Drosophila melanogaster: one gene and its partner. The protein of the gene in region 1 interacts with the protein of each later gene in a pairwise test. Each region holds a gene or a part of one and is shown on either strand. Other genes may lie near its edges.

The links.
Region 2: the proteins of Rpt6 (region 1) and ERR interact in a two-hybrid assay, tested with the Drosophila melanogaster proteins (2 studies listed by BioGRID).

Annotation. Positions count from the first base shown.
Region 1 is NC_004354.4:21,314,178-21,318,198, forward strand, and holds Rpt6 (regulatory particle triple-A ATPase 6), read left to right. Parts: upstream 1-1,874; 5' UTR 1,875-2,000; coding exon 2,001-2,018; intron 2,019-2,081; coding exon 2,082-2,226; intron 2,227-2,371; coding exon 2,372-3,426; 3' UTR 3,427-3,486; downstream 3,487-4,021. Other genes in the region: CG1801 (uncharacterized protein), read right to left, coding at 1-559, 661-878; anox (anorexia), read right to left, coding at 3,887-4,021.
Region 2 is NT_037436.4:8,182,724-8,187,385, reverse strand, and holds ERR (estrogen-related receptor), read left to right. Parts: upstream 1-1,715; 5' UTR 1,716-1,796; coding exon 1,797-1,819; intron 1,820-2,164; exon of another isoform or gene 2,165-2,343; coding exon 2,344-2,902; exon of another isoform or gene 2,903-2,958; coding exon 2,959-3,867; 3' UTR 3,868-4,025; downstream 4,026-4,662.

The DNA of each region.
Region 1 (4,021 bases):
GTATATAAAATTATAAAGGAATGTGGGCAGCTGGGCGACACTCATCACGGAGCACGGCTCGTCGGCGGCCTTCAGCAGGATGTTGTAGACCTCGACATTGGGTTCTGGATAGGTGCTAACTATGTCCTTGCGCAATTGGTGGTACCATTCCACAAAGATCTGGTGCTGCAGCTGCAGAAACCCCTCGCGAATATATATATCCTGCTGCTTATCGTGCTTGGCCCGATCCCGTCCGGGATTAATGCGACCCGAACAGCGGGTTATCCACAGGCGATCCTCGGTGAGGAACGGAGCGATCGTGCGGAACTCGCTGGGAAACCGAATCGAGATGGACAGAGTCAAAGGAGTGCCGTCATCGCGCAGATCATTGAAAACAATGCCCGCCAGGGTAGTCCGCTCATCGAACTGATTTTGCATTTCGGACTCGCTCTCGTAGCCCACGGTTGAGCTCAGTTCCAGCGTTTTGGCCACATTCTTGGTCACCTCCGATGTAAACGTCGTTTCCGGCGTGAAGGCCAGGATGTACTTGGTTTTCTCCCGCTTCGAGTCTGCCATGCGTCTGCGGAAGGTAACAAAACCATATAAATAGGTAGGAGCATTAAGTTGCGCCTTTGGATGGCGCTACATTCAAAAGGTTGTAGGTGAATACTATGCACTTACGTCAATATATTTATGTCCTGCAGTTTGTGGGACACGATGCTCTGCTCGTTTTCGTTCTCGGTGGTCGTGTATAGAAGCCTTTTGGAGTGAGCGATGGGGTTGAGAAAGATCACTAGGACCATTATCACTAGGGCGACGATCTCGAAGAGCGTCCGCCGCCACAGATTTAACTCGATGCGGATGTAGCGCTTGAAAAGAAGACCCTTGCTGGCCGGCATTTTACAATTTAAAATATAAATTTAACAAACGACAGAAATTGGTTGGCGGGTCTGCACTCCCGCACAAAACGGATGGTTTGAGTGTGAGAAGTTTGATTTTCGGCAGGGGATTTTGAAAATATTCTTATTTTGCCTTAAAACATACCAGTACTTTGTTCTCAAAGCACATTTTGATGACTATTTCAGACTACGCATTTACATGCCCAATGTTTTGAAATTTTCATAGATAATATTGAACACCTTCAAGCTTAGAATTTGTCACATTAAGTATTCACAATTAATTAGAAATACATTACATTTTTTTCATTAGCAGCGGTATTAGGCTAATTCAAGTTCATTACTTAAAAATCGCTGGTGCTACGCAAAAACAAGAGAGAACACAATGTATTTTACCACGAATCAGAGAGAAACCTATAGTCGAGTTCCCCGACTATCAGATAACCGTTACTCAGAGAAATATCATCATTTTTCTGTCTAGAAATTGGTAAATAAATTGAAAAAATGTATCGGTTTTGGCATGTCGAAAGAAATTTACAAGACTAATATAAAAATAAAATATTAAGACATTTTTTAAAAAAGTGGGCGTGGCAGTTTTGGGTGGTTTGGGTCAACAAACTAGCGCTGTCTCCAGAATCTGTATGCTTAATCTCAACCTTCTAGCTTTTAAACTTCCTAAGATCTTGAAGTTTATGCGGACGGACAGACGAACAGGGCCAAATCGACTCGGCTATTGATCCTGATCAAGAATATATAAACTTTATATGGTCGGACACGCTTCCTTCTACCTGTTACATACTTTTCAACGTATCTAGTACACTCCATTTACTCTACGACGGGTATAATCCTACGAGTAAGGTCGTGTTTTGTTATATTTAATTTTAATTGTTTACTGGACACATTTAATTCGAAAACCTTAGCTAGGTTTTTTACCACCTAGCGTTTTTATCGATGCCGATTGCTCGATGGCATCGATATTCCGAATGCAGTGCGATAACCGGCATGTGTCATCTCGAAAAGCAAATGCAGAGTCATACAATAAAGAGGAATTAATTCGACATCTTGCATTGTGGTCCTTCAGTTCGACAAATAATAACAAATTAAAGTGTAAACAGAAAACGAAAGATGACGGTGACGAATCGGGTATGTACATTTGATTCCCCCAGCTCTTCCACCGCGAAAAACCAATGCTCCATGTTTTCGCAGATGGAAATCGAGTCGGCCTACCATAAAGGCGAGGGATTCCGGTCCTACTACATCCAAAAGATCGAGGAACTGCAGCTGGTGGTGGCCGAGAAGCACCAGAATTTGAGACGACTGCAGGCCCAGCGCAATGAGCTCAATGCTAAAGGTAAATTTACTGTTACACATATGTAGATAATGTGCATAGTTGGTTAGCTGTAGGATATAGAAAACATATAAGACTTGTTCTTGGTCTTAATATCAAAAAATCTTTAAATTTGAGAAAGCAATCCTAATTAGCACGTCTTTTGCAGTTCGGATGCTGCGGGAGGAGCTGCAGCTGCTCCAGGAACAGGGTAGCTATGTGGGCGAGGTTGTGAAGCCCATGGACAAGAAGAAAGTGCTGGTCAAGGTGCATCCCGAGGGCAAGTTCGTCGTCGATCTGGACAAAAACATAGATATCAACGACGTAACCCCCAATTGCCGCGTGGCCCTGCGCAATGAGAGCTATACGCTGCACAAGATTCTGCCCAATAAGGTGGATCCGCTGGTCTCGCTTATGATGGTTGAAAAAGTTCCTGACTCCACATACGAAATGGTTGGCGGCCTGGACAAACAGATTAAAGAGATCAAGGAGGTGATTGAGTTGCCCGTAAAGCATCCAGAGCTGTTTGATGCCTTGGGTATTGCCCAGCCGAAGGGAGTGCTCCTTTATGGACCTCCAGGTACAGGAAAGACTTTGCTGGCCAGGGCCGTTGCCCATCACACCGAGTGCACCTTCATTCGCGTCTCTGGCTCAGAGCTGGTCCAGAAATTCATCGGCGAGGGTTCGCGCATGGTTCGAGAACTCTTTGTAATGGCCCGGGAACATGCACCATCAATTATTTTCATGGACGAAATCGATTCCATTGGCTCGTCGCGTATTGAGTCAGGTTCCGGCGGCGATTCCGAGGTGCAGCGTACTATGCTGGAGCTACTTAACCAGCTGGACGGCTTTGAGGCCACCAAGAACATCAAGGTGATCATGGCCACCAATCGCATTGACATCCTGGATCCCGCTCTGCTGCGTCCCGGCCGTATTGATCGCAAGATCGAGTTCCCGCCACCAAACGAGGAGGCGCGTCTGGACATCTTGAAGATCCACTCCCGTAAGATGAACCTCACGCGTGGCATTAATCTGCGCAAGATCGCCGAGCTAATGCCAGGCGCATCAGGTGCGGAAGTCAAGGGCGTCTGCACGGAGGCCGGCATGTATGCGCTGCGCGAACGACGCGTCCATGTCACCCAGGAGGACTTCGAGATGGCTGTGGCCAAGGTGATGCAGAAGGACTCGGAGAAGAACATGTCTATCAAGAAGCTGTGGAAGTAGGCGTTGATCGGCCATTGCAAAAGAACCCTTATATTATTTTCAATAAATACATCAGTTAGTAACATAAATGCATTATTGTGTCATTGGATTTACTCCTTAGTCAGTACGCACAACCCAATTATGATCTTCACAGATAACTTTCGTTCAATGATATCTGAAGAATTGAATAGATTATCAGATTACAGTAGCAGCTTTGTAAAAAGTACATTGCAGTGTTTTCAACTGGCTGCTTGATCAGAACAAAAAAAGAGAGGTTATCCATCTCTTTCTTTTTTATGTTTTTTCGATCTCAATGATTCCTAAAAATCCGAAAGGAAAGTACTTCCAAAATTACATTTATGTATGTATGTTTATTATAGTTCCAAAGAACTTACAGGGGACTTGTCGGAGATTTACAATGGTTCACAACACCTTGCTGTTTTTAAAGCAAATGAGCACCGAACAACTTAAGATTTTGACATTAGGACGCGGATCCAGCGAGTCGTTCCCGTTCCGTTTGAAGCACCTGGCAGATCTGCTCATCGTCAGCCACGTCGTAACAAGTCTGTCCATCTGAATCGCGTAGCTCCAGGCTGGCGTGTAGCTCCAACAGGCA
Region 2 (4,662 bases), on another chromosome or scaffold:
ATAGCGAATGGCGCAAACAAAGCGTGGGCCAAAGCAGTAAATATATGTTAATAAATACAATAACAAACTTTGCACTAGTGTGTGTACACTTTTTGGGGCTGCTGATAAAAGCAACAACAACAAACAAAACACACACACACACCCAAACGCTTGCGAAATGTACATACGTGACTGAGAATCGTTTATTTGTACCTATTTGTATAGCTAACACCTCTGCCTCGGCCCTATCAATATACGCAGGACACCGCTGTTGACTAGTGGTTGGCTGCAAGGCGTTTATTAAACTGAATCCACGTAATGTTTAATGATATTTGGATTTCTTGTCGCGCAATTGTTTTTGCTCTGTTTTGCACACACACCAGCACCCACACAAAGGCAAGTGGGACAGCAACAGAGCAGAGCGAACCAGGGAGTGCTAATCGAGAGCAGAGTTGCATGCGCCAGTGCTGGAAAGGGCTGCGTCTGCACCTGAGCTGCATACATATTGAAAATCATTCACTTGCATTCAGGATAAGCATCTACCACGAAACTAATAAAACTAAATGCCATTGTTAGTTATTTTAGAGTAAAACATTATGCAAACGATTATATACATTACTATAAGTTTTATTTAAAAAATGAAATAAGTCTGTAAAGTAATTGCGGCAGTGTTTTAGTTCCGAAAAGCGAACCACCGAATCGTGAGCACGAGCCAGCATAGTCTGCATCCCTGGATAGGTGTTCAGTGTTTGCCAGCCCTGGTCAGGTCTGGTTCACCAAAAAAGAAAATAAAATTACATTTCAATCTTTCCAATATGCAAATATCTGCACGAAAACCAGCGAGAACAGCATGCTCACAATAAAGAGCCCCCAAACAATGTGACTCGTATCCGCGCAGAGTGACGTTTCGTGCCTTGCCCGAGTGCCAAATCCAAATCCCAATCCAGGCGCACAAAATCGATGCAGATGCTGTCTGCATTCTCATAGAAAGTGCAACTGAATAACCGATGGTCGCCAAAAGCCACGATGTCCAGTAATAATGACCAGTGAATAAACAATTATGACTCGAGCATCGAAAAATGCTGAGGAACGAATACATAAGCAATAACAAGAAGGTGCTCAACTCGGACCAAAACAAGTACTACATGCTAACGGTCGAGGAGGCCGATATGTATTGACGTTGTTACAGTGGAGCTGATTACACAAAAGATCCTCAGAACGATTTTATGTAAGTATGTAAACAGAGGCGGACAGGCCCACCTTGGGCCGCAATCACAATCTTCTGGCTTCGGCTTCCCTTGGGCTGATAAGAGCAGAGTGCTTAGTGCTGCTTATCTTTCATCTGCAACCTGGCCGATGTCGTCCGCCGTCTACTTACTACACCACTACTGCCCCCCATTGTCTTTGCTAGCGCGCGTTTTATACCCTGACACAGAGTTGACTGGGTGCAGCAACACACTAATTGTAGGAGCTTTACGATAGTAGGGATATATGACCATTTCCTGGCAGACAGATTATGTATATTGTATATGACTAGTCTAAATATAGACTCGTGTTCAGTGCCTAGCTGATAATGAGGTCAGAGTGCTGGCATTCCAATTGGTTGCCAATTGTTAGGGTATTAAAGCTTCGCTTCCACCACTGTCCCTTTTCGATTTTATTTTACTTCGCTTTTGCCTAATCAATGTCAGCACTGTGCGTCGTGATTTGTAGTACCTTCAGCTGGAAGGTACTCCACGCACAGTGCTGTTATCGCACTCACGGCGCGCGGTTCGGATTTCAGTTCATTTCTGTCCCGTACTTTTCCACGACCACCGATGAAGTTCTACGCGGGAGAAGGGTAAGCTATAGAGCTTGCATACGTTCACTTGTGAATCCGAGGATCGCATTCGAATTGCACTGGACGGACCGCCGTTTGTTTTGGTTTTTGCGCGGCTTAATTACAATTACGTTTTGCATTCATTAAGAATTCCGTGACCAGGTTTCATGCGACTAGCCCAGCACTGTGGGCTCCAATGGCACTACTCATTCATAAGTCCAGATAACAGCGTTGGAATTGTAAAGTACCCGTTTTTGGGTTCTATGTTTACCACTGTGCAGCGCGTTCTATTTGACATTAAACTAAAGCGATCTTTATCGCGGTGATTTGGCGAAATTGAACGTTTTTCCCACATTTCAACTCTTTACTTGTTCATTTCTCTCCGCATTTTGGGTTGATCCTCATATCGTACCATATCGTTTATCCTAAACCTTGTATCTCGAGTCCTCTATCTAATCAATCATTTTCTTGAAGTTCAAATCAAAGGCTTTAACTTGTTGAAACATATTTCTTATTTTATCCGCAACTCTTTTTTTCTCACCCAGCCAAGGCACGAACATGTCCGACGGCGTCAGCATCTTGCACATCAAACAGGAGGTGGACACTCCATCGGCGTCCTGCTTTAGTCCCAGCTCCAAGTCAACGGCCACGCAGAGTGGCACAAACGGCCTGAAATCCTCGCCCTCGGTTTCGCCGGAAAGGCAGCTCTGCAGCTCGACGACCTCTCTATCCTGCGATTTGCACAATGTATCCTTAAGCAATGATGGCGATAGTCTGAAAGGAAGTGGTACAAGTGGCGGCAATGGCGGAGGAGGAGGTGGTGGTACGAGTGGTGGAAATGCGACCAATGCGAGTGCCGGAGCTGGATCGGGATCCGTCAGGGACGAGCTCCGCCGATTGTGTTTGGTTTGTGGCGATGTGGCCAGTGGATTCCACTATGGTGTGGCGAGTTGTGAGGCTTGCAAAGCGTTCTTTAAACGCACCATCCAAGGCAACATCGAGTACACGTGTCCGGCGAACAACGAGTGTGAGATTAACAAGCGGAGACGCAAGGCCTGCCAAGCGTGTCGCTTCCAGAAATGTCTACTAATGGGCATGCTCAAGGTAATTTCATAGTCCCGAGTTAAAGTTCCTAAACTCTAATCGCTTTAACTTTTCAGGAGGGTGTGCGCTTGGATCGAGTTCGTGGAGGACGGCAGAAGTACCGAAGGAATCCTGTATCAAACTCTTACCAGACTATGCAGCTGCTATACCAATCCAACACCACCTCGCTGTGCGATGTCAAGATACTGGAGGTGCTCAATTCATATGAGCCGGATGCCTTGAGCGTCCAAACGCCGCCGCCGCAAGTCCACACGACTAGCATAACTAATGATGAGGCCTCATCCTCCTCGGGCAGCATAAAACTGGAGTCCAGCGTTGTTACGCCCAATGGGACTTGCATTTTCCAAAACAACAACAACAATGATCCCAATGAGATACTAAGCGTCCTTAGTGATATTTACGACAAGGAATTGGTCAGCGTCATTGGCTGGGCCAAGCAGATACCTGGCTTTATAGATCTGCCACTTAACGACCAGATGAAGCTTCTCCAGGTGTCGTGGGCAGAGATCCTGACGCTCCAGCTGACCTTCCGGTCCCTACCGTTCAATGGCAAGTTATGCTTCGCCACGGATGTCTGGATGGATGAACATTTGGCCAAGGAGTGCGGTTACACGGAGTTCTACTACCACTGCGTCCAGATCGCACAGCGCATGGAAAGAATATCGCCACGAAGGGAGGAGTACTACTTGCTAAAGGCGCTCCTGCTGGCCAACTGCGACATTCTGCTGGATGATCAGAGTTCCCTGCGCGCATTTCGTGATACGATTCTTAATTCTCTAAACGATGTGGTCTACTTGCTGCGTCATTCGTCGGCCGTGTCGCATCAGCAACAATTGCTGCTTTTGCTGCCTTCGCTGCGGCAGGCGGATGATATCCTGCGAAGATTTTGGCGTGGAATTGCACGCGATGAAGTCATTACCATGAAGAAACTGTTCCTCGAGATGCTCGAGCCGCTGGCCAGGTGAAAAGGATTATGCGGGCGCCCAAACTAGTTGATCTAGCTGATAAGCAAAGGTGCAAATATAGTCTTAGGTATATATGGATGTATACTAGAGTAGATTAAGCGTAGGATAAGCCATGTATATAAATAGTAAAATACTTGTCGGGTAAGATTAGTTCGCAGAAAAAATCTCTTTTAATGGACTACCAACTACAGCAACTGGAAAACCCTACTTATCTTCTAGAATCGGGGTGTGCTTACACTGGTTAAAGGCGCATATAGGTGTTATGTGTCTAAAGTTGTGAGTCACAGATCTTCAATAATTTGTTCAATTCTCACTGGTTCTGATATATGTATATGCCGCAACCTTCTGATGTAACGTATGAATTTGTGGGCACTTTTAAAATACGATAGTGGTTCTACAATACAATGGATTATACTGTTTCTAAGTGTCATGTAACCCAGTGATTCTGTGTCTATGTGGTACACATGCGGTCAAAAGAATAGCAATGTCGTCCGTGAATAATAAACCGTTTGTAACTGTTGTTTCCATACTCCCTAAGTTCTGTATTCTTTGGGGATTTTCTTTTCCTAAACAAATTCAAATTAGTTTTCTAGAATTCAGTGCATTTGATCGCATTTATACATCACTATTTCCTAATCCATACATAGGCTGATATATCGCAAAACTTCAAAAAATTAACCATGACAAAGGTATTCTGTGGTCCTTGAGGGCTTACAATTAGTGCTAACGATGGTCATATTTACATTTGCAGACTAGAGACGTTCCATCATCACCAATTAGAGCTAAGCCCAATTA